Macaca fascicularis: one gene and its partner. The protein of the gene in region 1 interacts with the protein of each later gene in a biochemical or structural test. Links are inferred from orthologs where the notes say so. Each region holds a gene or a part of one and is shown in the gene's direction. Other genes may lie near its edges. The genes, in order: CD6 and ALCAM.

The links.
Region 2: the proteins of CD6 (region 1) and ALCAM form a complex in vitro, tested with the Homo sapiens proteins (4 studies listed by BioGRID and IntAct). The link is inferred for Macaca fascicularis from reciprocal best matches to the Homo sapiens genes CD6 and ALCAM.

What each region holds. Positions count from the first base shown.
Region 1 is NC_088388.1:13,257,581-13,273,074, reverse strand, and holds part of CD6 (T-cell differentiation antigen CD6), read left to right. Parts: intron 1-5,446; coding exon 5,447-5,515; intron 5,516-6,440; coding exon 6,441-6,791; intron 6,792-7,415; coding exon 7,416-7,727; intron 7,728-8,451; coding exon 8,452-8,754; intron 8,755-9,947; coding exon 9,948-10,013; intron 10,014-12,089; exon of another isoform or gene 12,090-12,287; coding exon 12,288-12,428; intron 12,429-12,767; coding exon 12,768-12,863; intron 12,864-14,551; coding exon 14,552-14,674; intron 14,675-15,494.
Region 2 is NC_088376.1:177,703,660-177,719,631, reverse strand, and holds the start of ALCAM (CD166 antigen), read left to right. Parts: upstream 1-8,597; 5' UTR 8,598-9,294; coding exon 9,295-9,367; intron 9,368-15,972. UniProt on the Homo sapiens protein: Cell adhesion molecule that mediates both heterotypic cell-cell contacts via its interaction with CD6, as well as homotypic cell-cell contacts. Promotes T-cell activation and proliferation via its interactions with CD6.

The sequences.
Region 1 (15,494 bases):
TTATTTTTCCAATGTTCTGTCATTCCTTCTGATTCTATCAGATAGTCTGATGAGGATGTGGTGTTTTGCTTTTTTTTCTTTTTTGAGATGGAGTCTCGCTCTGTCACCCCAGCTGGAGTGCAGTAGTGGCTCGATCTCAGCTCATGGCAACCTCCGCCTCCCAGGTTCAAGCGATTCTCCTGCCTCAGCCTCCCGAGTAGCTGGGACTACAGTGCCCGCCACCATGCCTGGCTAACTTTTGCATTTTTAGTAGAGACAGGGTTTCACCATATTGGCCAGGCTGGTCTCAAACTCCTGACCTTGTGATCCACCCACCTCAGCCTCCTAAAGTGCTGGGATTACAGGTGTGAGCCACTGCACCCTGCTGACGATGTGTCTTTTAACATCTCTAACATGGCTTTGTTTTTAGTATGCTTAGTTTTACAATTACCTTCTATTTTAGGCAAGTCATATAAATAGTCCCTTTAGGTTTAATATCTTCTAATTTTTTTCAAATCAACATACACACCTAATTTTACATACATAGAATCATATCATACATGATTTTAAAACTACAGCCTTTTACCTTCATTGCTTGCTTTTCCTCCTGCAATCTTCCATGGCTGTGACTGTGTCCCAGGACCAGCTGCGTAATTTGCAGGGCCCGGTGCAAAATGGAGATGCAGGGTCTTTGGTTCAAGAAATTATGAGGAATTTCAAGATGGCAACAGCAGAGCATTCAAGCAAGGGCCAGGTCCTTCTAAGCACAAGGCCCTGCACACAGTCCACCAGCCCGTGGAGCTAGTCCTTCTCGGCCTCTTCCCCTGAAGCCCACCCTTTTAATTTTTCCATTTTGATCATCTGCTGTGTGTTCTCCCACACTTGTCTTCATGTTCCTGTAATCATACCAGTTCACAGAGGCGGTTTTTGGCCTTGTTTTACAAAAATTGTATCATATTATATTCTATTCTTTGCGTCTTGCTTTTCCTACTCGACACAGCTTGGAAATCCTGCCAACCCATCTGGGTCTATTTCATTCTTTATAAAGGCTGCATAAGATGCCACGCTGTAAATGGACCATAATTGATTCAATAATTTCCCCTGTAAATGGGCATTCACGCTGTTTCTAACTTTTTGCCATTCAAAAATCTGCAGTGGACTGGGTGCGGTGGCTCACACCTGCAATCCCAGCAGTTTGGGAGTCCAAGGCAGGCAGATCACTTGAGGTCAGGTGTTCAAGACCCAACCTGGCCAACATGGAGAAACCCCATCTGTGCCAAAAATACAAAAAAATTAGCAGGGTGTGGTGGTGGGAACCTGTAATCCCAGCAACTTGGGAGGCTGAGGCAGGAGAATTGCTTGAATCTGGGAGGTGGAGGTTGCAGTGAGCCGAGATCACACTGCTGCACTCCAGCCTGGGTGACAGAGCGAGACACTGTCTCAAAAAAAAAAAAAAAAAAAAAAATCTGCAGTGAATATTTTTATGTTCAGGTGTCTTTAATGACATAAAAAAGCAAATTCACAGGAAAGGGTAAAGGTTTGCTCTTACTCTGTTTTGTGTTGCTATAACAAAGTGCCACAAAGTGAGTAATTTAAAACAAAAAGAAATTTGTTTCTCATAGTTCTGCAGGTTGGGAAGCCCAAGATTTAAGGGCCACATCTGATGAGGGCCTTCTCCCTGCATCATAACACAATGGAAGGCATCACATGGCCGGAGAGTGCACAAGAGACAGAGCGAGGGCTGAATTCACTTCTACAACAAAGCCACTTCTGCAATAACCAACACACCCCCATGATAACAGCATTAAGCCGTTCATGAAGGCAGAATCCTCATGACTAATCAGCTCTTTTCTTTTTTCTTTTTTTTTTTTTTTTGAGACAGAGTCTAGCTCTGTTGGCCAGGCTGGACTGCAGTGGCATGGTCTCAGCTCACTGTAACCTCCGCCTCTCGGACTCAAGCAATTCTCCTGCCCCAGCTTCCTGAGTAGCTGGAATTACAGGCGTGTGCCACTACACCCGACTAATTTTTGTATTTGTAGTAGAGACGGGGTTTCACCATGTTGACCAGGCTGGTCTCGAACTCCTGACCTCAGGTAATCCGCCCACCTCAGCCTTGCAAAGTGCTGGGCTTACAGGCGTGAGCCACCACGCCCAGCCCTAATCAACTGTTAAACATCCAACTTCTCAACACAGGTCATTGGGGGATAAAGTTTCCAGCACATGAACTTTGGGACACATTCAAACCATAGCAGGCTGCTTTTCAAATACATTTATTGTAGCAAAAAAGTGAACCAATTTAAAGAAAAGTGTGAGGCACAGGGCCAGGCAAAGGTGGTAACAACGGGCCGGGTGCGGTGGCTCATGCCTGTAATCCCAGCAATTTGGGAGGCTGAGGCGGGCAGATCACTTGAGCTCAGAAATTCAAGACCAGCCTGGACAACATGGAGAAACCCCATCTCTACAAAAAAAATACAAATATTAGCTGACATCGTGGTGAGCGTCTGTAGTCCCAGCTACTCGGGAGACTGAGGCACGAGAATCGCTTGAACACAGGAGGCAGAGGTTGCAGTGAGTCGAGATTGCGCCGCTGCACTCCAGCCTGGGCGACAGAGCGAGACTCTGTCTCAAAACAAAAAAGGTGATCATGATGTCTGAGAAACGCTGATCTTGCATTCGGCCCTCTGTGAAATGAGGCCTGGATGGAAAGATGGTTCCAGGTAATTTCTGTTTTTCTTCCTGTAGTGCAGAAGTCAGAGAACAGAGAAGCCAGGTTCCCTTCCTGGGATAGGGGATGGGAGAATGCTTGTTGCAAAAATAAAGCCCTCAAGGTTATCTGCTTTCAACCAACTGCCTTGGAGCTGGCAGCTGCTGCTCACTCTTTCATTCGGTCAGTCAATCAACAAACACTGCCTTGGACACTGTGGGGGACACAGGGCTGACCCAGCCGTGGGCCCTGCCCTCTAGGGTTTTCCGATCTAGGAGAACACATTTGTGTCTTTATGCATGAGAGAGTGGTTTTCCAGACCCAGAGAGAGAAATGATATAGAGTTGAGTTAAAGGCCCCCCACCCCAACACACATCACATTCACACACACAGTCTTAATCACATATGCACAGAGTCACTCACACACACTCACATGCACACACCTCACAGTCATACACACTGCAGCCATCGTTCAATCCCCCTCCCCCACCGCATGTCGTAACATTGAAAACTATGCTGGAGCACTGGGACCGTAGCTGTGGGAACCGAGATTCTGAAATCCCAACTTGTGGGCATCTGAATTCTCGCGCTGATTATTATAATACATCAGCCACGGAGTTTGTGCTCTGAATTTGGAGTCATTTCTCCTCCAGGAGGTCAGGCTGGGCAGATAGCCAGGGAGTTAGCGAGGACGGCAATTAGAGGGCTGATGACTTTCTGCCTGATGATGGAGAGGCCCACACGGTTTCCTGGAGAGGGCTGTCTGCCAGGGTGTATACACGCACACACACATGCTCAGGCTCAGGGGGCGTGTCCGTGGAATCTGCTCAGGTGAAACTCCAGGAATGTGTAGCGGTCATTCCAAGTCTTCAGCCTCTGTATCGGTCAGGCCAGGCTAGGCAAGGCTGTAGTAACAAGGACACCCCCAAATCTTCATGGTTTAACATGATCATGGTTTACTCCTTACTCACACAAAATTCAAGCCGGGTCAACATCCCCTTCCCTCTTGCAGTTCCTCGGCAACCCAGGGCCTCTAATATGCTTCAACAGGGAAGACATAAGTGCAAAAGTCTCACTACCTCTTCCCTGCTTTGGCTCAAAAGTGGGCACACGTCTTCTGTCTAGGCTTCAACCAGCCCACCCTAAGTGCAAGAGAAACCAGGAAATGCAGAGGAGTTCATATGCAACCACAAAAGTCCCTGCCCCAGAGCCTCCCTTTGTGCTTTGCAAGCCCAAACATCCCAGCCCAGAGGGGAGGCAAGTCCTTGAAGACAGTTTAAATCCAGGCTCTGCAGCTTGCTCACCGGGTGGCCTCAGGCCATGCATCAGTCAGGGTCCCAGCAGGAACCAGGTGGCACACCTAGAATAGGAATTTAAAGGGGACTCATTTACAGAAGAACTATTTACCAAGGTAATGCAGTAAGTAGAATCTAAGAGCAACTTCTGGCCAAAGGAGACACAACCAAGGAGCGGTCAGTGAGTCCGAGTAGGAGACAGTCAAGGAGAGGTCACCTTGAATAAACAATGTCCTTCACATGAGGGACACAGCCTACCCGAGGGACCTCACAGGTGGGGCCAGAGGAATAAGTGTCACATCTTCACTCTCCTCACTTCTTCCTATCTCTGCTAAGGCTCCCCATTGGCTGAATCTGGCAGAAGCCATAAGGCCCAGGAAGACAGGGGTTAATTCAAACAGGTCGGCCTCCCAGGGCAGAATGGATAGTAGCTCTGGTGGAATAAATGGACCCTATCTGGCAGGGACAACTGATTTTTGCTTTTGGAGCCTCCTTTTCCTAATCTGTAAAATAAGAATGCTAATACCTGCCTCATTGTGTTGTTGAAAGTAAATGGAATAGGCTGGATGCAGTGGCTCAGACCTGTAATCCCAGCACTTTGGGAGGCTGAGGCAGGCAGATCACCTGAGGTCAGGAGTTCGAGACCAGCCTGACGAACATGGCTAAACCCTGTCTCTAGTAAAAATACAAAATTAGCCAGGCATGGTGGCACATGGCTGTAATCCCAGCTACTCGGGAGGCTGAGGCAGGAGAATCGCCGGGAGGCAGAGGTTGTGGTGAGCCAAGATCGAGCCATTGCACTCCAGCCTGGGTGACAAGAGCAAAACTCCATCTCAAAAAAAAAAAAAAAAAAAAAAAAGAAAGAAAATAAATAGAATAATATATGCAAATACCTGTCCTTAGCGAACGTTAGTTTCTTAGTGTCTGAAAACACTTTGCAATCCAGTGGTTCCCAGTTGAGGATGTGCCAATTATTCTAAAGTCTGTTATGAAATTCTCAAATTCTACAAATTTTTTTTTTCTAAATCACTCCCATTTTCGAGTTTTTCTATATATCAAGCATTTTGTGGGCTGTCTAATTTCAGTCTCATGATATTTTCCTAAGTATCATTGTTGAAAAATTGGGACTGGCACAGAAAGATTAAGTCACTCATTCATGGTCACGAAGCCAGTTTGTGTGTCTGGCCCCAACGCCCACTGCCATTCCTACCTGTTCTACTCCGATTTCTGAAGATGTGTGTGCAATGAATAGATAAAGCGGAGGATCTTGAAACGCCAATGTTTGAGAATTTTCCCTACCCTGAAGGGAGGCAAATGCAAATGCACCCAAAGTTGAGGACCATGTCTTTTCCAAAGGCCTCATGTAGCCACCACAGGCTCCAGGAAGTGCCCCCTGCTCATCAGGGTGCCTCTGTGGCCTCCAGGCCTGAGCTCACTCACCCACCACGCTCCTGCTGGTTCATTTCAGGTCATCTGTCTCCAGCCCCATCTGACCAGCTCAACGCCAGCAGTGCAGAGAGCGAGGTCTGGCAGCCAGGTGAGCAAACATTGTCTCTGGGGGTCCATGGTCAGCTTTCTGTAGGTGGTCCCCCATGGTAATAAAGAAGGGAAGGACATTTAGGATGCCAGGAGGCTCCCTGACTTCAGACAACACTTCTTCCTGACCCATCACCCGAAGTTCCGCTATCAATTCACTTTGAGATCGTAGAACTACCATTTTTTGAGAGGCCACTGATAAGTCACATACAGGTGGGCAGGTATGCCTGGAGCATTTTAAGGGGATTTGTGGAGAACAAGCTAGAGTTCTTGGTGGGGGTGGCAGGGTTCCACCAGATGGTTCCTTGATTTACTCCACAGATATTTATTAAGGACCTACTCTATGCAAAGCTGCATGCTGGCACTGGGGGTACAATCCTGGGCTAAAAGGGGCAGGTGGTTCCCAAAGAAGGGGTTCTGGGGAAGTGAGGACCACCATCAGCTGAAGCAGCCCATCATCAACCCCATGGCCAGCCCTTTGGCAATCCTCCAGGGTTCCCTGGTTACTGTGGCAGCCTCTAGGACAGTACCCTCAGAGGAGCAGAGGGGCCTCCAGGGGAAGCATGTACCCATTGGGCCAGGGCCCCTGAACTCACAACTCTGCCTTTCTTTCACAAACGGGTGCCCCTGGAGACAGGAGCAAGTGAGGAGGGTTTGTGGGGGCTGGATCCCTGGTTGTCTGTCACCCATCTTAACCTCTAGAGTCACTCCTGAGCCCCACCTTCGCCTGACTCTAAGGAGAATCACAGGGTCAGGCCTCAAGGGGGGATCAGGGATGAGCCGGCCCGGCTCCATTTTGCAGATTGGAAAGCTGAGACCCAGAGCCAAGCAGGGCGTTGTCAAAGGTCACGCAGAGTCAGTGGCAGAGCCTGGGCAACCGCCTGCCCCGGCCCACCGGTCTCAGCTCACTGGTCTGACACTTCCAGGGGAGCGGCTTCCGGTCCGTCTGACGAACGGGAGCAGCAGCTGCAGCGGGACGGTGGAGGTCCGGCTCAGGGCGTCCTGGGAGCCCGTGTGCTGGGCGCTCTGGGACAGCCGCGCCGCAGAGGCCGTGTGCCGAGCACTGGACTGCGGTGGGGCGGAGGCAGCCACCCTGCTCCCCCGGCCGACCCCCGAGCTGCCGCCCCCGCCGGCGGCCGGGAACACAAGCGCTGCCGCTAACGCCACTCTGGCCGGAGCACCCGCCCTCCTGTGCAGCGGCACCGAGTGGCAGCTCTGCGAGGTGGTGGAGCACGCGTGCCGCAGCGACGGGAGGCGGGCCCGCGTCATCTGTGCAGGTACGAGTGCACCCCCTACACAGGCCCCCACCTGCCCCACTCCCCAGGCCTTCAGCCACTGCCCCTGGCTCCAGCCCCTGGACCCAAGCCTCGCCCTCCAGACCTCCACCCTCACCGCCTACCAGTGCAAACGCACCGGGTTCCCACACCGGAGGACGACGTCGAGTCACTTCCAGATCTGAGCATTTCCTCGGATCTGGCCCCCAGACTCCCCTACACTTGGTCCCTAGTCCCACTCCTGGATTCCCAGTTAACCCGGTCTCTAACCCCACTTACTGGGCCCGCCGCTTCCCTGTCCCCGCCCGCTCTGGGTCTCTATCTCCTCCCCTTTCCCCATATACATAAACATGCCAGGTTCACAGGATTCCCCTTAGCGCTGTGGCTCCCAGGATACCAAACCTGCCCTCCAGGCCCCGCCCACCAGGCCTCTGGTCCCTCCCACCAGCCTGCTGCTCTACCTACCCCATCTGCAGCCCTGGGGGGATTCCCAGTCTTGCCTACCCGGCTACAGCCTTCTTACTGGGTCCATAACATGCTCACAACTCTCCTGCCAGTCCAACCATCACCCCAACCCTCCCTTCCTTGCCGGGTGCCCCAGCGTCCACAACCCCCTCCCACCCCTAGAGAACCGCGCGCTGCGCCTGGTGGACGGTGGCGGCGCCTGCGCCGGCCGCGTGGAGATGCTGGAGCATGGCGAGTGGGGATCGGTGTGCGATGACACTTGGGACCTGGAGGATGCCCACGTGGTGTGCAGGCAACTGGGCTGCGGCTGGGCAGTCCAGGCCGTGCCCGGCTTGCACTTCACGCCCGGCCGTGGACCTATCCACCGGGACCAGGTGAACTGCTCCGGGGCCGAAGCTTACCTGTGGGACTGCCCGGGGCTGCCAGGACAGCACTACTGCGGCCACAAAGAGGACGCGGGCGTGGTGTGCTCAGGTCAGTGTGCGGAGTCACTGAAGCGCGGTCACCACTGACACTCACCATAGGCCTACTGGGCACCAAGCCTGGAGTTAGTGCCGGAGAGGTGGTCCCTGTCCTTGAGAGGTCACAGTTCAGGAAGTGAGATGAGACTGAGACAAACGTAATTCAGGAGAGAAAGTGGTAAATGCCCCCAAGAAAGGCAGTCAGGTGGAGTCTAGAGGCAGCAGGCAATGTGGAGCTGGAGGCTAAGGCTGACCACCTCCTGAAAGAGATGACATTAAAAGTGAGACTCTTCCTGAGCGGGAGTTGGTCACCTGCATTCAAGCAGCAAGGAGAGACTGAAGGCAGGGAGGCCTCTGAGGAGGCTGTTGGTCTGTCCAGGTGAGGCCAGAAGGTTCTGGACCAGCCAGTGCCTCTCTTTGATATGCAGGAGATGGGGGAGGTGGGAGTGTTAAAATGTGGATTCTGATTCAGTAGGTCTGAGGCAGAGCTCCAGAGTCTGTTTCTGACAAGATCCCAGGCAATGCCGATGCTGCTGCTCCACAGACCACACTTATCACAGCAGGGCTGGCCAGAGCAGATGGGGCAGGTGACAGGGGGACACAGACACAGGAGGGAGAAGACACAAGATCTGGAGACCAAATGCCTTCATTGGTGCCTGCCCTGGTGGGTCTGGGCTGACGGGAATATCTGCCCAAAGGATCCTGACCGGACTCTGTCCCCTGCCCCTTTCCTGCAGAGCACCAGTCCTGGCGCCTGACCGGGGGCGCCGACGCCTGCGAGGGGCAGGTGGAGGTACACTTCCGAGGGGTCTGGAACACAGTGTGTGACAGTGAGTGGTACACGTCAGAGGCCAAGGTACTCTGCCAGTCCTTGGGCTGCGGAACCGTGATCGAGAGGCCCAAGGGGCTGCCCCACTCCTTGTCCGGCAGGATGTACTACTCATGCAACGGGGAGGAGCTCACCCTCTCCAACTGCTCCTGGCGGTTCAACAACTCCAACCTCTGCAGCCAGTCGCTGGCAGCCAGGGTCCTCTGCTCAGGTACCCCATCCCACTCTACCCCCCTGATATGAGCCAGAATACTACCTGAATCCATGTCCTAAAAACTTACAGCCCAAGGACCACAATAGGCACCAGATCGGCAATGGCACATACGGCATAAGAAGGACCGTTGTCCTTACGGTGCCCAGGCAGACAGTGCTAATTCATCGAGGCATTTTCAGATGCCCCACTCAGCCCCAGAATGACGAATCGTATATGAAGACATTATATGCTAAGCAACGGTTCCTCTTAACTGGGATTGACTCAAGAGTTGAAACCAATTTGCCATCCCAGGCCTGGTGATGATAGTAAAAATAATATTAGCAGGCCCTAGTAAAAATATCGATGACAGCTTCTGGAACCCTGATCATATGCTAGGCATTGTTGAGCACTAAGTAGCTCTTATTTCAGCTAAGCCTCATACGCACTGTATGGTTTGGGTTTTACCATATTTCACCAAATCTAAGATGGCATTGTTTATAAGTCACACCATTATTATTTTATGTACCGTAAAGAAGAACAAACGCTGCCAAAATAAACCACCAAACGTAATGATTGAGGCTATGATCCCAGTTTCAGACGTGTTAAAGTCTGAAAAAATGTGAGTGTTAGATAGATCTGAAGAAACATGATATTTGCGTTCTTACGGCGTTCAGACACCTGGTTACAAATTCCAGCTTTGCCATTTACTGGCAAGGAGGCTTCCAACAGTCCCTTAACCTACAAGTGTGGATGCTGATACTAGGCACCTCGCAGGATAGCTGGGAAACCTGATGGTCACTGCTGAGAGACTTTTAAGCTCCTATCTTTGTGAGCATACCTGCCCAACGGGAATGCCGACGATGATAATGAAGATAATGTCAGCTCATCATCTCCCTAGGCCGATTAATAACAAACTGAAACTGAATGGAACAGGGATTTGTGGTCTGTAGCAGCTTACGCAGGAAGAAGGGATAATTCTATTAGCCCTTTATTCTAATCAAAGAGCCTTCCCAGCATTTAATCCATGAGTTCCTCCTTACTGTGGGGGGAGGAGGGGAGGGATGTAAGTTTCCTTAGCCACGTGCCCCTGATAGGAGCACAACCCTAGTTCTGGGTTCCTTGTCTGTCCCATTCACTTTCTAACCCAAGGCCTGGCACACAGTAGGTGCTCAGTAACATGCATTGAGTGACTGGGCGGTGCTTTCTGACAGCTTCCCGGAGTTTGCACAATCTGTCCACTTCCGAAGTCCCTGCAAGTGTTCAGACAGTCACCACAGGTAAGTGTTGCTGGGTACTACATGGTTTCTCAGAAGCTTGGACACGTGTGTGTGTGTGTGTGTGTGTTTCTGTGCACACCTGTGTTGGGGTTGAGGATGGTTTGGTCCCCATCCTCCACTTCCAGCCAATGGACTTGCCTCCCCGGGGGCTCTCTGGGCGTCGCTTTCTACTCTTTCTACATCCCCTCCTTGCCAAGTCAGCCCGTAGATTACTGAGTCCTGAGACTTCCTGGACAGGAGTCCATTCCCCCACTTTCCTGTGAGCTCCTGGAGGGAAGAAGGAAAGAGCTAGAGAGAGCCGATACCACCTCGAGCAGGGGTCAGGGTCAGGGGGCGGCAGGGGTAGGGTGATCTTGGCCCAGCTGGGTAGCGGGAACATTGGGACACAGCCCTGTGTTCATAACAGGCCAAACACTGGGCCTAGTGCTTTGTAGCTATTATTTCCCAACCCTTTAATCCTCTCTGTAGCCAAATGGGAGAGGTCTTAGTATAATCCTTACATCAAGAAAGGAGCTGAGGCTCTGAGGCTGAAGTCATAGCTAGTGATTGCTGGCCAGAATTGACAACCAAGGCTCTGAATTCCAGGTCCGTCCTTGGTCTACCCACCAGCTGTGTGTAGCTTGGCTGGCATCAGAGCAGACTCCCAGGACTCAAATCCCAGCTGTGCTTCTTGCTAGCTGTGTCCTGTTGGGCAACTCTTAACCTCTCTGAGCCTCAGATGCCTCAATTATAAAATGGGGGTGATATGCATATAGCACCTTTCTCCTAGCATTGCTGTGAGGCTCCAGTGAATTAATTTTTGTAAAGCACTTAGAACAGAGCCTCGAAGACTGTAAGAACTGTCTGAAGGTCTGCTGTTGCTATGAGTATTTAGTTCAGGCATAGAGCCCCTTTGCAGTCCTAGGATACCCACAGGGGCTGGCCCAGACTCCCTTGCTGTGCCTCCTAGCTCTCTGTCATCTTCTCTCAGACACCCCAGAAGCAGTGAACAGGGGTTTGGGGAGAGGGCACAGAGGCCCTAGCCATGGATGACAGCACAGAGAGGAAATGAAACACACAACTGCACAGGCTGCCGGGCGAGCTCCTGCCAGGCCCTGCAGACAACCTGCACACACTTTCTCTTCCTGAAGTTGGGGTGGGGATCCACACCATCCCGGAAGGGCAAAGAGTGAAGCACAAAGAGAGATCCAGGGACCATGCCCCGGTCCTTGGTTCATCAGCCCCTCCCTCGGCCACGGCCCTCTCGGCCCACATTCACGGGTCTCCCCATGGCTGCAACACCCAGCCTCACTCTCACATCTACTTCTTGCTGCCAGATCCAGCTCCCATCCTGGCCCAAACTTCCCCATTTGCAGACAGAAAGGGGAGAAGAGAAAATGAAGACAGGGAGCAGGTTCTCTCCTGGGGAAGCAGACACTGCTTCCAGCAAGGAGGTCTGGATGATCTCATCTCCCTCCCCGTCGCTGTCACTACTAGTCATCTAGCCCTGTGGTCTGCTCACTCCAGGCACCCTCCTCACTGCCCCCTGTATCCATTCTTGTGCTTTGCATTCTTTCAAGCAGAGGGGAGGCTGAGGGAGGGGGAAGGCAAGAAGTCACCCCAGAGTGGGGCTGCAGAGGCGGGAGACCCTGAATCCCAGACCCCACTCCTGTCCTCGTGGAGGGGATGTCTGGTGGGAAGGAGGGGGTCTCAGGCACAGCTCTCCTGATGGTCTGTTCACTGCCAGAGGTGGCTCAGAGTCGCCATCTCTGGGAAGTCAGCCTTGGGCTTCCCTCACAGAGAATGGGGTGCCTTTTATACGGCCTCATGCCTCCAGTGTCGCTGTTCAAACCTCCATCACAGCAGGTACCTCACCATATTGGATTGGGGTACTTATTGACCTCTCCACTAGACAAAGCCCTGCAAGGCCTATGATACTGTTGTCATATGTGTAGCCCCAGGGTCTAGTGCCAGGCACACAGGGTACTCAATAATTGTCTATTGAACAAAGACTAAATACTGAAGAGCTAGCAGACAGATAGATCTCTGCAACCTGGTGGCCAGAGTTGTATTTCAGGCAGTAATTCATTTAATCAATTAATCATGCATGCAGTATGCATTTATTGAGCCCCTAATGTATACCACCCACTTAAAAGAAGTTGGGAAAAAATGGAAAAAGAAAGCAAGGAGGAAGATAACATAAAAAGGGAAGCAGGTCAGCTTTATAGAGAATGGAAAGGCAAAAAGAAGGTTGAGTGCCCATTCCTCTTCCTGCATTGGAATTCTTGTTTCCAGAATCTTCTGTGACAGTGAAACTAGAGAACAAGGAATCTCGGGAGCTAATGCTCTTCATCTCCTCCATCGTTCTGGGAATTCTTCTCCTTGGCTCCCTCATCTTCATAGCCTTCATCCTCTTGAGAATTAAAGGAAAATATGGTAAGTGCAAGGTTCTGGGAGCCACTGCCATCCCAGGGGGGTGTGGGCCTCGGCAGAACCTCCGCAGCAGTGGTGTGGTCCAGCAATGGCCACCAGACCCTGGCCCTGGGGAACTCCCCATGGTGGAAAGGATTTTACCAGCATGCCCAGCAGTCGTGTACCCACCAGCGGGGAGGACCAGGCTCTGTGCATGTGTGTGCGTGTGTGTGTGCGCGTGCGCGTGCCTGCAAGTGTTGGGGGAATGAGGAGGGTGGTGTCTCGATGAGAACAGAATGGAACCAGGTAGACTGGGAGAGGGCAAAAAAATGACTTGTAGAATTTCTGCCTCCCCTCCCTCAGCCCTCCCCGTAATGGTGAACCACCAGCACCTACCCACCACCAACCCAGCAGGGAGCAATAGCTATCAACCGGTCCCCATCACCATCCCCAAAGAAGGTAGGATGTCCCCCATCCTGGGTGTGGGAGGGCTGGGGAGGACAAGAAGGGTGCACTTTCTGGAAGGTCAGCACTGCTTAGGTCCAAGACGTACATACGGCTGGAGATGAGATCTGGGCCAGCCCATTCACAGCCCTGGGACCTTGAGCAGGCTCAAGTCATCCCTAGACGTTGAAGGGCAGATGACTTCCAATTCAGTCACACTAGGACTCTAGAGTTTTGAATTCTGGACAAATATAGGCTAAGCACGGTCTAGATCTTGGTTCTCAGAGGAAAACTCTGTTCTGCTTTGCTCTGCTATTTGGCTGGTAGGCTTGTGATATCATCATCCCTGTCAGCATCCTGCCCAATTGGCCTTGCGAAGCCCCATCAAGATTCTCCTAGAATGTGGTTTTATTTCATATTTCATGTTTTCTAAGCAAAAAAAAAAATTGGGCCCAGGCACAGTGGCTCACGCCTGTAATCCCAGCACTTTGGGAGCCTGAGGTGGGCAGATCACTTGAGGTCAGGAGTTGGAGACCAACCTGGCCAACATGGTGAAACCTCGTTTCTACTAAAAATGCAAAAATTAGCGGGGTGTGGTGGTGTGCACCTGTAATCCCAGCTACTTGGGAAGCTGAGGCAGGAGAATCGCTTGAACCTGGGAGGCGGAGGTTGCAGTGAGCTGAGATCACGTCACTGCACTCCAGCCTGGGAGACACAGCAAGACTCTGTCTCAAAAAACAAAAAATAGGTCAGTCATTCATCCTTTATGAGATATGGACTTCTGCCTCTTGAAAGTCTTGCAGAGGAATTTGAGCTTAATCACCTTGCATTATGAATATATTCAATCACCTTTATGGGAAAGAGTTCAATGACATAAAAACCAATACAAAACTCAGCCAAATATTGTAAATATCCTTTGCACAGAGTGTCCATATATTTGAGAAGAGAATGTGAATACAGCATCTAGCACAAGGCTTAGCACAGGGCAGTTGCTCACCGAATAGCACAGTCTAGAGGTTTAGAGCCAGACTGCCGGCTCTGGGCCAGGTAAGAACCTGTCTGTGCCTCAGTTCCCTCCAAGGTAAAATGGGGATGGTAATGTACCTACTTCACAGAGTTATCATGAGGGTTAAATGAGGTAATACTTGTAAGTGTTAGAATAGTGCCTTACATATAGCAAGTACTGTGTTAAGCGTTTGCTAAATAAATGTTTAGTTCTCCATATTGGAAATGAATGAAGGCAGCCTAGAAACTTCAGACTGGGTGGTTTGTGCAAGATGGGCTACCCAGGCCGGGCACGGTGGTGGATGCCTGTAGTCCCAGCACTTTGGGAGGCCGAGGGGGATGGATCGCTTGAGCCCAGGAGTTTGAGACCAGCCTGGGCAACATTGTGAAAACCTTTCTCAATTCAAACATTAGCTGGGTGTGATGGTGCATGCCTGTGGTCTCAGCTACTAGGGAGACTGAGGTGGGAGGATCACCTGAGCCCAGGAGGTCAGTGCTGCAGTGAGCTGTGATGGCACCACTGTACTCCAGCCTGGACAACAGAGTGAGACCCTGTCCCAGAAAAGAAAAAAAAAAGGGCTACTTGGTGCTCTCCTGCCACTCTGCCTCTCACCTCTGCTGTTCATACTCTCTACCATCTCTCCCTATACCTTTCTGCCCACCACTTTGCCATGCCCCCGACTCTGTTCTCTCCCCAGTTTTCATGCTGCCCATCGAGGTCCAGGCCCCGCCCCCTGAGGACTCAGACTCTGGCTCGGACTCAGACTATGAGCACTATGACTTCAGCGCCCAACCTCCTGTGGCCCTGACCACCTTCTACAGTGAGTGCCTGGCTGGGTTCCCGAGGGCCCACCTGCCTGAATCAGGGAGGGGACCCCGAGGGGACCGTCAGTAGTCCCACCTAGTAACCCCTGCATGACGTGGACAGAATCCCCCTGGTTACCCACTGGATTGACTGTAAATGGTCCCACATTGACGTTTTCACAGTGCTTTGTGACCCTGGGGTCATCTTGATGTCTCAGGACATCTCCGCTCTGACCTCTGTCTCTCCCATGTTTGTCTCCGGCCATGTAGGGTCTTAAAACCAGGCCTTTGACACTCACCTAAAGATGGCTCTCTGTGTGAGAGATGGGGGAGTGCAGATGAGACACACAGTTGGCAGGGGTTCTTGCCCGCCCATATCCCTCCATGTCCCATCCTGCCCTGTCTGATCCCATCAGCCCCACCCACTTCTTTACCTCCACTCTCATGCCAGCTTGCGCCTCATAGCTGGCTCTTTTCTTTGCCTTCTGGGATAGGAAGAGGAAAGATAACGCTGAAGGCAGGGCCCGGGCAATGCTGGGAGGTTGGAATAGACCAGCGCATCCCACACCCTATTGTGGAATCACTTGGGAGCTTGTCAACAATTCCTGAGCCCCTCCCCACACCTAATGTATCAGTCAGGATGAGTTTGGCTGTGTGTGACCGAAGGCTCCAAATGACAGGATCCTGAGAGGTTGGCAGGGACCCAGCCCCTTCTTTCTTGTTGCTGTGTAGTCCCTAAGATGTTGCCTTCATCTGCATGGTCCAGAATGGCTCACCTGCATGTCCACATTCCAGGCAAGGGCAAGGGAAAGACAGGATGCTGGAGATGGCCACAGC
Region 2 (15,972 bases), on another chromosome or scaffold:
ACCATGTTTTCAGTAGAGAGGAAGCCCGGCTATAGCAAAGAAAATTGAGAAAATAAAGACAACCAAAGGCACGTAGAGCTAAAATATGGAAAGAAGGACAAAGAGCCTTGACAACTTTGCTCAAATGCCTGGCTCCTGCTATGCTTAAACAAATACACACTTCTGGAATTCCTGGTGATTTAAACCAGTAAGTCCCCTCCTCATCGGTCTTTTTTTTTTTTTCCTTTAGATGGAATTTCACTCCTTTTGCCCCGGCTGGAGTGCAATGGTGCGTGCGATCTTGGCTCACTGCAACCTCCACCTCCTGGGTTCAAGAAATTCTTCTGCCTCAGCCTCCCGTGTAGCTAAGATTGCAGGCGCACACTACTATGCCTGGCTAATTTTGTATTTTTAGTAGAAATGGGGTTTCACCATGTTGGCCAGGCTGGTCTTGAACTCCTGACCTCAGGTGATCCGCCCACCTCGGCCTCCCAAAGTGTCGGGATTACAGGCGTGAGCCACCGCGTCCGGCCCCCATCTTCTTTGTTTCTTTTGCTTAGGCTGTGTAGAGTTGGGTTTTGTTACTTTCATTACAAAAACCATGGGAAAAAAAAATCCTTACCTGATAACAGACTCCTGCTGGCTGGCTGGGATAATACAAATAAATAATGTCTCCTTAACTTTTAAAATAATGTCTCCTTAACTTTTAAGAAAAGAGGGGAGGAGGAGGTAATGGGAAAATACTAAGAGCTAAATTTCTTTCTTGGCCTATATTCTAAGATTCGCTAATTTACTCTATTTTTGTTTCTCTGACCTATGACTCATCTCTCTTTGGACATCTCTTTCTTTCATTGGCACACAGACCACAATATACTCACTGATCATTCTTTCATTCATAAATTATCATGGCTTTATTTTATTTATTTATTTATTTATTTTTTGAGACGGAGTCTCGCTCTGTCGCCCAGGCTGGAGTGCAGTGGCGCGATCTCGGCTCACTGCAAGCTCCGCCTCCCGGGTTCACGCCATTCTCCTGCCTCAGCCTCCCGAGTAGCTGGGACTACAGGCGCCCACAACCGCGCCCGGCTAATTTTTTGTATTTTTAGTAGAGACGGGGTTTCACCGTGGTCTCGATCTCCTGACCTTGTGATCCGCCCGCCTCGGCCTCCCAAAGTGCTGGGATTACAGGCGTGAGCCACCGCGCCCGGCCCATGGCTTTATTATTTAATTCTACGTGGTAAGTCTTAACAAAACGGGCCAAAGGCAAGGCATTAAGTTGGGAAGAAAAGAAAGGAGAGAAGAGATGTTGATCATTTTCAAACTGGAAGGACAAATCATCACTAGGAGAAGTTATTTCAACTTAAATTTCACAGAGGGAATTTATGCAGACGGGGTAGAGCTACCTCAGGATAGAGCAATTTGGGAGTTTTTCTGAGTCCTTCTGGGAAGATCTGAGGAGCTGGAGGCAGTAGGAGGGAAAGCTTGAGAATAGAAGATGACTCAGCTTCTGGTGTGGGACAAAGCTACTGGTGTGAGTAACTAAGGCCCACCTTCTCAGTCTGGCTAAATGATGTGATTCCCACTCTTTATGTGCATTTCAAGCTTCTCCTTGGAGTTCCTTTGGCTTCAGAGGTTACATCTAGTGTTCATTTAATCCTGGCCTCGATATTTGCCTCAGGCCTGAAAAATCCAAGGAATAAACTTGGACTATGCACTTTTTGAAATGTCTTTGATTCTAGAAAAATTACTTGAGAAGTATACCATTTGTAGATTCTATGTGTGTGCGTGTGTGTGTGTGTGTGTGTGTGTGACCGGGACTGGTTCTGTTGCCTAGGCACTATCACAGTTCACGACTCACTGCAGCCTCCACTTCCTGGGCTCAATCAATCCTTTCACCTCAGCCTCCCAAGTAGCTGAGACTATAGGTGCACACCAACACACCCTGCTAATTTTTTGTTTGTTTGGTTGGTTTTGTAAGAACGAGGTTTCCTTATGTTGCCCAGGCTGGTCTCAAACTCGTGAACTCAAGAGAGCCTCCCAAAGTGTTGGGATTATAGGTGTGAGCCACTGCAACCAGTTAGAAATTCTTTTCTAATTGGATACATTAACCACTCTTGCACAGGATGTTTCACTCTAAAACTTGGATGCCATTCTCCATAATAAGACAAATAATTTTCCTTATGAGGTATATCAATTAACTAGATTTAACAGCATTTTAAAACCGGAAGCCAAGGTCTGAAATAATTTCATCTACCTCCTTGTCATCTAGAACACATCACAGAATTCTGGTGATTTCAATGAAAGCACATACATGTTTATAAATCTTTTTATGCATTGTCTTATATAACTGTTTTATATGTATTGCATTTTCTCACAAGCTTTTCACCTTGAGGTACAATTATTAAGTAAATTTCTTTCCCTTACAAAGAAAAGTAAACACATTAAACATCTCCACGTAATGTTAAAACGCTGGACATTAAATTAAATTAAATATTTGTCCTATAGCACTGTGAGCTGAATAGGTTATGAATCATCTATGTTTGTGGAATACATTGCTTAGAATTATAATTTTGCCAAATTCACCCGGTAAGGAACAAAGTATAAAGAACACTGAGGCTTAAATTCTTTAATACTTAACTAAGTCTGTAGACTTTGCAATATTGGTACTGCATCCATAATCATGCCTTAGTGAAATGTTATACAGAACATCATTCAGAATGTTTGCTCTGAAAAGAGTTTGGATAAATGTGCCATATTTGAAATTGATTAATGGTGTCTGATATGCATCCAGTCTTCTTATTATACTAAGAATTTGACTTAAAAGTTATAGGGTATCTTGTATATTTACCCTACTTGAAAGAAGTAGTTTGCATTTAAACAAGAATGGTACCCATAGCTATGTTAATTTTGGTTAAGTGTTCTGCCTCCTGGGACCTCAATTACTTACCTCATATGTTATATGAGGTAGTTAGATTATTCCAGTGGTTTATCTAACTGTCCTGGAAACCTTTAGAGTGTCTACAGGAGGAGGTGAAACCTCAGGCTTCTTATCAAGATTCAGCCCAAACAGCCCCACCTCTATCAGCTTATTAATTACCTTGCACAATAATTCATGTATTCATGAACCTGACTTTTTGAATCCAATAGTCTCCTGTGTCTATTATGTGACTATTTTAAACATATGGAAGAATATTAAACAGACACAAACTTCTGCCCTCATTGAGATTTCATTATGGTAGAGAGACAGACAATAATCAAACTACATGAGTTAAATGGATGTTATGCTATATGGTGATAAACTTTATGGAGAAAAATGAAGCAGGAAAAGGAATTTGGGGGCTGGGACTGACAGTTTAAATACTTGTTTATGGAAGGCTTCAATGAGGAGGTAAGCTACAGTAATAACTTGGGGAAAAGAGTTCCAAGGAGTGGAAAGAGGAAGTGCAAAGGCACTGAGGTTGGAGTATGCAAAGTACATTTAGGAGCAGTGAGGAGACTACCATGATTTGAATAAATTGAACAAGGGGTAAATATAAAACTGGACTTCAGAGTATTCCCATATTAGAAGAAAAAGGGTTGCTTTTAAAGATTGAAAACAGTTCACTTAAGATAGTTCTAAGGCCCTGAAAAATATTAAAATTCAAAAGTTCTTGCTTATAGTATATGATCAATGATCCTTGACTCCATGTTATTAATACTTCTTTTTTTGCTAATCAATAATAAAAAGTTTTTGCTCTTTAGGGAGCAAAAACATACATTTGTCCAACAATCGTTTGTTAATACTTTCCTGCAAGCTTAACTATCTTACTTAAGGGGAAAATAGTATGGATAATTAGGGCCTAGTAATTAATTAATTAATTTGACTTTCTAGAAATCCATTAGATCCAAGGTGACGTTTTTGCTTTAGAAAATCAAATATATATTATTTTCATATTTTTATAGTCATTATATATTCACCTCATATTCCTGAATAGAACTATTGCAGATCACAATGGGTAATCAATATATATCAAAGAAATTAGAGATAACTCTGGGAAACTTCTTGAAAACATATAATTCAAGTTGGAATTTCTTTTAAAGCATCAAACATTTAAATAACCATACCTTGAGTCATTTTCTACTTACTCAAAACTAAAAGAACTGCTTATTTCAGTTGAAAGTGGGAACACTCGGAAGAGAAACCCTCAAGTTAAGGGGTAAACCCAGACTGTTACACTTTTTGTACGTACATTTATGCACTTACTGAAATCACCCACGAATTATGAGTTTTTAATACACTGGGAGTTTTTGAAATTCATTTTATATAGTGTAAGTTTCATAGTCAAATAGCGTAGCTAAATTCTTTCTTCATTCCTCATGTCTGAGACAGGAAGGAAAATGACTAAGTGGATTTCTAGTTCAACTGAAATAGCTATGCATTTCTTTTTGTACCCAGACTGAACGTTCTGTGAAATAAGAACATAATGTTTATCATAGACTTTGAAAGTTTTTACTCTCCTGAGCTTCAGTGATATGTCTTTATTAGCTAGCATTATTGAAAAGGTGAGTTGCAGAATTGTATTAATTCATTGACAGACGACACGGTTAACAATTGAAATTAAACAGTAAAATTCAATGGACTCAGGAAGAGATATACCCAGAGGTCCTCCATGTGTATTTAATGCAATAACATTAGAAATCATTTATTTAAAAAAACTTGGAGTCTAGAAAAAAACAGAAATTTATATTATACAGATGTAATCTCTGTGCCTCTTTAAAATTGTATATCTTCCTAGACTTAATATAAATCCCACTTAGGCCGTTATTTCAATCTTTGTCATCAGCACATTAGCCTAAGCCCTTGCCTGGTCACTTAGAACCTTTACTAATCAGGTTTCTGTGCTCAGCATGGGCCATTTTGTTTTATTCTAATTGATGGCACATAATTTAGTACAGTCTTTCTCCCGTAGATTGTTTCCTCACTTTATACTTCAAAGTTATCACCTTGTTGACTAGGACTTGACTCATTCTTTTTGCCTTTCCTAAACCTTAGTCTGCCTAGACCAATCATTGAAGACCCAATGGATACCCCTTTCATCTTCTCATAACATGAACCCTTGTAAGTTTGTTTGAAGGTTTATATTCTATTAGGTATTTTTTCTCATCACTTATCATTCATTCACAAAAATTTATCAAGTGTCCAATCTATTTTTAAAGTATGGCTGAACATGTACTCACCGTAGGTGAGGGTTGAAGGAGAGAAGAGTGAATCAGATTTGTTGCATGCGCTTGAATTGTATACAATTTTGTTCAAGGAGTAGGAAGGCAAACAAAACACAATGATATACAGTGGTAAGAACAAATGTTTTCACCTTCCAAAACTATCTTTGTTGAAATTTCATCTCCAGTGGAAATTTTGTGGTGACTAATAAGGGGAGAAAAACTACTTCCATTCTTCAAATGCACACACAATTGACTATGTTGTCACATACTGATGGGATTAAAATTTTAGTACAGGGAAGGGGTCCTGGCCTGAGCCTTGGGAATCCTGAGTCCTGATCTCAACAGACCCTAAGTAGGAAACTTGCCTCTGGTACCATGTCACTGCTTTGAGCATATCATCCTGATTGATGATGAATTCCTTTATACTTAAAATACAAAGCTCTTCTCATGTCCCAGGTAACGTGAAATTTTTCCCCCCTGGATAAATGTTATTCATTTTTCCCTTTCAGCAAGATGTACGCTTATGATGCTCTGATGCATGACTAAACTATACAATAAATATTATTGGAATACTATGTATTCTCAATTGTAACAAAAGTGACTGTGATCTACATGTAGCTGGAAACACTCTTCCTCTCAAGAATTAAGTAAGATGGATCCAATCCCACATTGACTAGATTTTGAAAGATAAATTCTATTATATTACTTTGTGGAGCTTACATTCTCATGTTTATTTCTAACTCTGAGCTCTTGCTTATGCTACATTATTTCAGTTTAGAAATGGTCTTGTCATCTCACATGCACTGTACCTGGCCTATGCAGATAGGGTGTGCTGCTTCATTAGTAAATTTCCTTAATGCAAATGTATGTGAAAGGATGAGAGAACTTACGTTTAAATCAATCACCCCACCAAAAAAGCCATACATTTATTGTTATGCATTCTTGATAAGCAAAGTGGATAGCGATGAGCAAAGTAGACTGGAATTCAGTTCAAGAATAAGAATGCCTAGGGTAGAACCCTGGCTTTACCATTGCTATGAATCATTGGGTGACCTTGGAAAAGTTGCTTCAAGTCTCTGGGTTTTACTTTCTTCGTGAGTAAAATGAAGATGAAAATAGCACCTCCTTCAATAACTTTTTATGAGGGGAATACATCTAATTCATATAAATTGCTTAGAATATTCTAACATGTAAGTGTTGCTAATTAATAGATCTAACGACCTTTGAACATTTTTAAACTCATGCTTTGTGTGGTTGCCTTTGCCCCCACTCCCAGGCCAAATTTCTATTTTAATGGTTATTATTTTGTTTAATATAGAGCAGTTTCACCATTATTTTTTTATGACCAATAGCCTTTGGAGTTACTATTCCAAGTGGTTTATCAAGGCATTTTCCTAAACTAGGACACATTCCTTTCTAAAAACAATTCTGGAAACAATGGACTATGCATTCAAATATATATTATACATATGCACATATATATATGCATGTTTATGTGTATGAGTATAATATGGACATATTTGTATTGTCAGTTGCCCCCAGAATTCCACGTGTTTGTGTGTTTGATCCCATTTGATCCTCACAGCAATCCCATGAGGCTAGCACTATTACCACTTTTTACAAGAAAGGAGACTGAAGCTTAGAGAGGTTAAATGGGTTGACCAAGATCATACAGTTAGTATCAGAGCCCAAATCAGTCTTCCTTTTGCAAATCTACTTTTAAACAATTAGGCTGTATAAACTCCCACTGCAAAATAGAGGAGGTCAGATAGAGGGTTCGAGGGCCTAGGTTAAATATATTGTTAGGACAATTTATTCTAATATGCCCCACCTATAGCCACAGTGAAAAAGAAAACAATTCCCTAAAGGAATTATAAAGGAGTCCATGGAAATGCTAGCATTTCAGCCAAACTTAGCTCATGGAATATAGAGTTAAAAGGCATTTGCCTCCTAGCGATAGCCTTCCTGTTGATTCATAAGATGCAAATGAAATGTTAATGTTTAAACTAAGTGGGAGAAACTACTTATTTTGAGAGAGAAAAAAAATATAGTATAAGAGTTCTACTCTAGAATATTGTTAATGTAAGAAGAACTGGACGAACAGGACAAGCAGGCTTTTGAGAAAAATTACAGCTGAAGATGGGGCTTAATAGTTTAGAGCACTAAAAGATAAATACTTTTTAAAATCTCTGTGTGTGTGTGTGTGTGTATGTGTGTGTGTGTTGCGAGTCTCCAGTCTCGCTGGTAACTCGCAGTCTTCTGATGAAAGTTCAGTATGTAACGATTACTAGTTGGCATCCTCTACTGGAGACCAGTCTCACAAAAGGGTGACCCTGTGATGTACGAAAGGCTATTTAATGCCCCAGCGAAGTGCTTCAGGGACCAAGATTTTATTATTCTTTGGTGATGAGAGTTGTGATCCTGCATCCCTGATTTAGAGCCACTTAGGGCTCCGACAGCTCCACCCCGGTGTTCTAGAGGAAAATATCCCTTCATGCTCTCTGCCTGATTTGAAAGCGACACAGCTTCGCGATGTTCCGCCTGGGAGGTGGTTCAATCTTTAGAAATTGCCTGAGAAGCCTGTCCATCTGCTGGAGTGCCTGGTTTTCGAGAACGGACCAAGACGGACTTGGCTTTTAATCTGAAATAATTTGATAATTTTCTGTCTGTAACTTAAAATCACCGCTTAACAAAAGTAAAAAAGTGACAAGCTTTCTAGAGGGCTTTTGTAGACATTGGGAAAATCCGTATGACGAAGTACGGTTTAGAAATTCCGGATTTAATTTCCCCCGGGAAAAACAAATATCTTCTGTTTGGTAGCGGGCAGTCGACTCACGTGGTCTTCCTTTAAAACAAAGTCTATGCCAGCCGGGGGTGAGGGAAGTGGTGGGAGTGAGCAGGGGGAGCAGAGAGATTCGAAAAGTACAGGAGGAATCAGTCCAGTACGGGGATTGCCCCTGCCAACCAGTAGCTATTCCTGTTAACTCCCAGGAAGCAAGTTTCCACCTTTGCCACTTCCTCCTGCCCTTTCCTTTTCCCTTCACTACGGCTCTTGGACCCAAAGTTCGCTCCCCACCGCCACCGCCCTGCCCCACTATTGTCTTTACAGGACAGAAGGCTGCAGCAGCACCGCGGAGAAAAATCCCTGAGGAATGAGTCAGTGAGATGGGCGTATGGGTGGAGGAAGAGGGCAGTCGATTTTTAAACCTCAGCGGGGTGGGTGGGGAGTTGGAAGCCAAAGGCCTTATCACTACCGCGCTGCAACATCACAGAAAGTGTTAGTCCCAGGGCTCTCCCGGGAGCGCGCGGCTCCTGTGCTTTCTCCTTATTGGCGGACCTGGACCTGGGGGCGGAGCCGCGGTGAAACCCCGCCCACCCGGACGCTAGGACAGGGGCACATGGTTCTCCCCGATCCCGGAGCTGGGCTCAGGGCTCGGACTCAGTCCTGCAGCGCCTCTAGGCTGCGGATCCTTGCTTCAACCACCTGCTCTGCGCCGCGTCCGGGGAAGTGGGGAGGAGACCGGAGGGAGGGAGGAGGCGGGGAGAGGAGGAAAGAGGCAGCTTACACACGCCTTCCAGTCCCTCTACTCAGAGCAGCCCGGAGACCGCTGCCGCCGCCGCCGCCGCCGCCGCCGCCGCTGCCGCTGCCACTGCTACCACCGCTGCCACCTGAGGAGACCCGCCGCCCCCCGTTGCTGCCTCCTGCGAGTCCTTAGCACTCGGCGTTTCATGCACATTGCCACTGCCATTATTATTATCATCCCAAGACAAGGAAAATAAAAGAAGATACCAGCGAAAAGAACCGCTTACACCTTTCCGAATTACTCAAGTGTCTCCTGGAAAGAGAGGGTCGTTGTCCCCGGAGGAGCAGCCGAAGGGCCAGTGGGCTGGTGTTGAGCTGGAGGGAGGAGGAGTTGGGGGCATTGCGTGGTGGAAAGTTGCGTGCGGCAGAGACCCGAAGGTGCAGCGCCACAGCCCAGGGGACGGTGTGTCTGGGAGAAGACGCTGCCCCTGTGTCGGGACCCGCCAGCGCGCGGGCACCGCGGGGCCCGGGACGACGCCCCCTCCTGCGGCGTGGACTCCGTCAGTGGCCCTCCAAGAAGGAGGAAGAATATGGAATCCAAGGGAGCCAGCTCCTGCCGTCTGCTCTTCTGCCTCTTGATCTCCGCCACCGTCCTCAGGCCAGGTGAGCAAGGGCCTGGGAGCAGCCCCAGACAGACGTGGGCCTGGAGCAGTTTCCTAGGTCCCCGTCCCAGCCTCGCACCCCCGAGGCAGTGCGCCTAGGCGCATGGATGAGGTAAGGGGACCTCTGTCCCGGCACAGAGCTGTCCCCGGGCTCGGTCACCTGTGCCGCACGTTTGGGGTTGGCTGGTTGGTTCAAGTTTGGGCATGAAGCTGGGGAAACTGGGTGAATCTCCAAGAACTTGGGGCTCCGGGGTTGTGGTTGCAGGGGCCCGTGGGCAGGATTCGCCTGACGCTCTCCGCTGGTCCCTGCGACTCCCAGCTAGGCGGCGGACTCTCGCCCTCTGACAGTTCCTCCTGTCTCTGGGTATCCAAGTCCACGTCACTGCGCCCCGAGCGGTTTTTCTTTCGCTTAGCTCTCGGATGAAATAACTGCCGGCACTTTTTCGTGATAAATCCCCTTGTAACTTCCCCTTGGTGAGCAGAGGAAGGGATGGGAGGGGTACAGAAGGAGAGGACTTTAATCACCTCCTGCCCCCCACGCCCACCTTGAGAAACCTACTGATGCTTCAAATCGTGGTTTCAACGTTCCCCCCTCCGGTCCCCGTCCATTGTCTGGGCGGGTGGTGAGTGTAAGGGTGACCGCAGGCAGATAACACAGCCTGAACAGGAATTAGTAGCTAGGTCTGGGAGACACCTCAGTGAGACGCTTGTGAATTTCCAGGACCTGCTCATAGAACCTCAGTTCTCAGTTCTGTACTGAGTCTTAGAAGAGAGAGAGATGGGGTGGGGGGGGGGGGGAGAAAGGCAAAATTCCCAACAACTAAAATATCTCGCGGGAAATCCCTTTCCGCACCCTCGGGGACGTCCGCTGGCATTGGTATCCTCAGACCCGCCTGGCGGCTGACACAAGTTGTTCCTAACAGGGTATTCTGTGCGCTCACAGTTGCCTGACAGAGCAGCAGGTTCCTTTGCTCCCCTAAACTGAAAATTTGGGGGATTTTTTTTTCTTTGAAGTTTTTATTTCTATCCCTGCGTAGACAGTTGCCAGTTAAACTCCTACTTCCTGGTATTTTGGCCTGTTTGTTCTTAGCTTTTTCTTTAGTTTTTATCAAAGAAAAACCTCACTTCCTTTTATCCGTGCATATCCCTTCAGCTGTCGGCAAGCTCAGGTCACAGAAGAGGTTTGAAAGCCTCTGAATCTCTCCCAGGAACTGGCAGGGAGAGGGGTTTGGGGGCTAGAGCCTGTGGAAGAGATTACAAGTGTTTGTGAGCTGCTGCTGCTGCCGTTGCTGTGTGTGTGGGCGGGAGGAGTGCCCTCTCCAGATCTCTTTATTAAAGTTACATTTCTGGGTGAGGTAATGAGCTCACCTGATGTTTCTGAGGCTGAGGGGGAAAAAAAAAAAAAGAAAAAAAAAAAAAGGCGTCTGCGTTCTCTGACAAATCTCGGGCTCTGGGGCGGGGACTGTGAAACCATAGTTCAACCGGATTTAAAGCAGGTGTCCTAGTGTAACAACGCTGGGGAGGTAGATGGAAAGGCGAGAACCCCTCGGGCCTGGCACAGTGTGGATTTCACTTTTTCGAGATTCCACTGTCCGATGGAGAAAATGACACTTTGGAGCCAGGGAATGAGTCAAGAAGGGAGGACAAGGGTGATGTCGGTTTGTAAGATGCAAACGTCCACACGCCCAGAGTTGGTTTCCGATTAACCCTCTCGATACTTGGAGAATGTAATCTCACCTACGTCCACACCCCTGACCACAGGCACATACCCAGTTTCCTTTTCTGTGCCGTCACAGGCGGGCCACGTCGCAGGATAGGTTTTTTTTTTACACATTTAACTGCTAAAAGGGGGAAAGTTCCGCTTTCAGACCTCCTGCGCGGTGATTCTTTTGGCGCCACAGACTCGTGTGTCCAGGGGGCACGGAGCTGCGCGCTTTCAGCGAGCGGCTGGCCCCGGCTCACCGCAGCCAGCCACGGTGAATCTGAGGATCCGATGCTCTGGACCCTCAGATCCGTGGTTTCTGTGAATTACCGAGCTGGCATTGCCGAAATTCTCATTGCAATATCAGTGTGTTTTAAAGGGAAAGGTTACAGCACTAAAGGCGCCGTGTCTACACTGAGGACGCAAGTCTTGGACAGTGAGTGCGCCTCCTTCGGGGCCCTCTGAATAACAGAGCCCGGTGGGGATGCGGTGCCAATAGCTGGCTTCATTTGAGGGGGGTAACTGACTTCCCCGCCGGCCACCCTTCATTTCCGGAGCAGTTTTAATAGTGTGTGTCCAGTTGTAGAGGTCAAAAACTCGAGTTTGTGAAACTGCTTCCCCGGGTCTTTTGGCCTGTAGTCGCTACACAGTCATTGATATATTTTAGGCGTGCCTCGTTACCTGTTTTGAAAGGAGAGGAAAACGAAAACTGAATTCAGAGATAAAGGCAATGAAATGTGTGTTCAGCATCCGAGGTAGCAATAATCTCATTATTCTTGTAGAAAGAGCGTCAGCCTGTGGTGACATTTTGTATTGCTTTAAAAAAAAAAAAAAAAAAAGGCTTTTCTGGATTATTTACAACAAGGAGGTGGGGCACTGCAGTTAACTCTTCACTTGGGTCATCTGTGTGAACCCCTCGATGGGATTTTTCATAACTACTCACTGATATAAGATTCATCCTAAGACATGAGCACACATAAAGCTTTCTTCAGTGGGATATTATGTTTGAAACATATCAATTGATCTCAAAAGGACTTGGGAAAGCATCAACTCAAATAATGTCCTTTCAAAGACTATTGATGTAGGACTACTAACATTGATTAATTTAAAAACTGAAAACTGTTTAATAGCCAATATATATTATTTTTTTCCTTAAGGATTTATTTAATCCAATAGCAATTTACAATTTAATGAAGTATTATTTGCAGTAAATTGCTTTTCTAGGCTTTCTTCAGGACAGCTACCTTCAGGCACTTAAGCAAATCATTTAACCTTTTTGGGCTTCAGTTTTCTCATATAAAACAAAAAGACAAGACTAAAGACCTACACTCTGAAATGCCTCCCAGCTCAAAAACTCTTTGTTTCTGAAGTCTTAAGGTAAAAAACCAATTTAGGCAGGCACAGTCATTTTTCAACACTATTTTTCTAAGGATCTCAGTCTAGACAAAATTCATATAAATTGTATTACTAGAAAAGTATCAGTGGACCCCAATTTCTAATTTCCTTTTTTTTTCTACCTTTAAAAATTCATGATAAAAATTCATGATAACATCTATGCTTACTCTTCCCAGCCTTAGTAGGGGGAAAAAAAAAGCGTGAAGGAGAGAAATTAGCCTTCCACTCTCCTGGGAAAAGAGGACCCAAAAGCAGGAAAGGATAGTAGGCCTCAGAAAGCCCTGTAGTGTAACCCATCCCTCCTGCAAGCCTGCCCCTATTTAAACTGCACACATAGTACCTAGAATGAGATATAAATGATGGTTTATGCTTAAATGTTCATGTTACAAAGCCTCATACTGTACATCCTAAAGTTGCTCAACAGAGAAGTTGATTTGCAACATGGTTGTAAATGCAAGACAGAAGGAAATAGAAAATACTAATACTTTTCTCTTGTTTTAAAACTTGTAGAAATCCAAAATATCTTGTCTTACCAGATTCCAAACCTTTTCTTACTTTGTAGAAAACTCAAACTAGCTTATCTTTTTTAATAGACATTCAGATGAAAATGCATGTCTACCACTGACTTATCAAAAAGAACATTAATAAAAACCCATTTTAATAGTCTTGTGTTATTAGAAAAATTTTATATTGTAGTAAGTATTCATGTGTTGAGTTTTTAACTATGTCATGTAAGAATGTTGTGACCTTGGGAAAATTATTTTTCTGCTCTTTTTCATTTCCCATCTGTGAATTTTCTTTCTGTGCAATGCATGGTTGTGATTGAGATTAGAATTCCTTTGCTCAGCATTTCAAATTTTTTAAGTAAAACATGCTATATTAATTAAGGGTTTTATTATATTGTTAATAGAATAACACTCTTTAATTTATTCCACTTAATTATCACTTTTATCATTTTATTAAAATAATGGAAATATGGTTTTTTTTCCTCTCTCTTTTTTCTTTTTCTCCCTCAAATTTTCATGCGACTAACCATGGGCCTTTGTAAAACTTAGTACCACCTAAGTTGTCAGTATTACTTGGTGTCAGATGACAGCAGTTTGTCAGATAGTATTTTAAATGCTTTATAATCACCATGTTTTACATTTCCAAACACACTTCTTTCTGTTCTGGCCATTTATTTAGAATAAAACACCATCAAAGAGTTCTGGCTCCCTAAAGGTATTCACTCAAGTAGACACATGCAATTTACAGCCCAGATATGCAGACGATCCACTTAGGTATAGCTGTGATAGAAGAGTATCTCTCTGTCTCAATGTATACATAGAAACTTAAATGTAATTTCTCACTAGGTGTTATTTTTATTCTTCATTGTTAAGTTTTCACAAAGGCTCATCTCATTTCTTACACATTATGTGCGTGACACATGTATGTGACATACGAAAAATGAACTAACTTACTGGAATACTAAATAATGGTTTCTCGGGAATGGTGGGTCATAACATTTATTTGGTTATTACTTTTGGATTTCAGCTTAGTTTATTTTCAACAAGAAATGGAAAAAATCCATTTATACTTTTGATTAGTTTTTTTATTAGGGTAGAATTTTCCTTTCCTTGTGGAGAGTAAATTCAAGACTAAAATAGATATTCTATATTCAGGAAGAGGATATTGCAGGCTATTTGGTAAGGCTACATCCTACAATTATTACAGTCTCCCTATAGTACGTAAGACATTACCATATTTTTGGAGTTACTGATATTTTCATGCAGCTAATTTCTCTGCTTAAATAATAAATTTTACATTCTCTTTTCTCCCTTATTATTGAATGGAATACCTTATATATTTCAGATAGGCCTAGTTCCAAATGTGCTGTGGTATTCAGTAATTGTTTTATGCTAACCTATTATCATAGCCCATTATTGTAGTCTATGTTCCAAGAATGAAATTAGCTTTTAATGCTTCCTCTCTTACTTATCCAGTCAGTTCTCAATTATCCATTCAAATAAGGGGGAATCAGAGTTGTGCACAATCCAAAACAGCTTCTAACCAAAGGCTTACTTAATTTGACTTTGCGTTGAGGTACTTCAATGAACATGTCTGTGCTTGTCTGGTCTAAGAATTCATAGTACTTCAACACAATGAAACTAAACTGCTGGGGAATAGGCTAATCAGAAATTAGACAGCTGTCCAACTTCTCTGATTTGCTTCTCTATTACTGTTATTATTATTGTTTTAGCTCTTTTCTGTATCACTTAAGGAACTGATGGAAAATCTTGGCCCAAGTAAGACGAAAAACATCTATGAGATGAAACTCAACCTTTGCAATCTTTTCAAATCATATAAATATTATAGACTCTTGATGTTCATTCACAGGAAAACATATTATGATCATGGCAATTGCTGTAGTCTTCTGGCCTTTGCTCAATGACACTTCCATTATGAATAATTTGTTTAGCTCTGCAAAATCACATTTCAAGTTTTAGAAAAATTTTACCCTCACCTGGCCCTTTTTCTGAAGCAAGTTTTTTATTACATCATACGAGTTTCCATGAATAAATGAATAATAAAGCAATACCCTTTTCATGGTATGAGTTGGTTTGGCAGCCAGGTAGATTGACTCCCCAGTAGGATATTCACACACCTGCTTTTCGAAAAAAAATTGCTACTTATCATGGATTATGGGGCTACTGTAAACAGTGAAAACAAGTAATATCAAATCCATAAATGTTAGGAAGATTGGAATTTATAATAAAAAAGACTTTATTTTTGATTACTTTAACTTATTATGAAGCTCTAACCAAAGAAGTTAACTGAATTTGTAGATTAAGATATCAACCAGCACTCCAACACAATGTTTTCTTGAGGGAGATAAATCTCAAATATACTTTCACCTTAGAAATTGATGTAAGTAGATTTTTATCCTCTCCATCTGTATAGTTTTAGAGAGTCTAGGTTGCCTTATTTGAACTGTGAATGGGAAAAAAAACAAAAACAAAAAAAAAAACTTTCCTGTACTTACTTGCCTTTGGTGCAGAATCAACATTGGAATGTTGATAATGACTAAAATGAGTCTTAACTTTTCCCTTTCCCTGTACTTGTTTTTGCTGTAGCTTTTACCACATCGTATTATGATATTAGTGACTTTTTTTTGCAGTTGAACATAAATTTTTTGAATACCAAATATTATCTTTGTCTATGTATCCTCAAGTCTAGTCAAGAACTTGACACCTAGAAGCTGCTTAAAATTTTTATTTTTATTTTTGCATTAAATAGAGTAGAAGCAATGCATCTGTGGAGAATTAAACTCCATATGGCAGCACCTGACATTCATGGATTACTAGGAAATTTTCTCAAGAAGTTTGGGAGTTGGGGATATAATATCCTCACTGAGAATTGAATTGGAAAATAAAACCATCATGAAAGAACAGAGTGGGACAGGCCATCAAGACCTGATGGCACTTTGGTAGTATTAATGAAAAACAAAAAGAAAAGAACGTGTATATTAG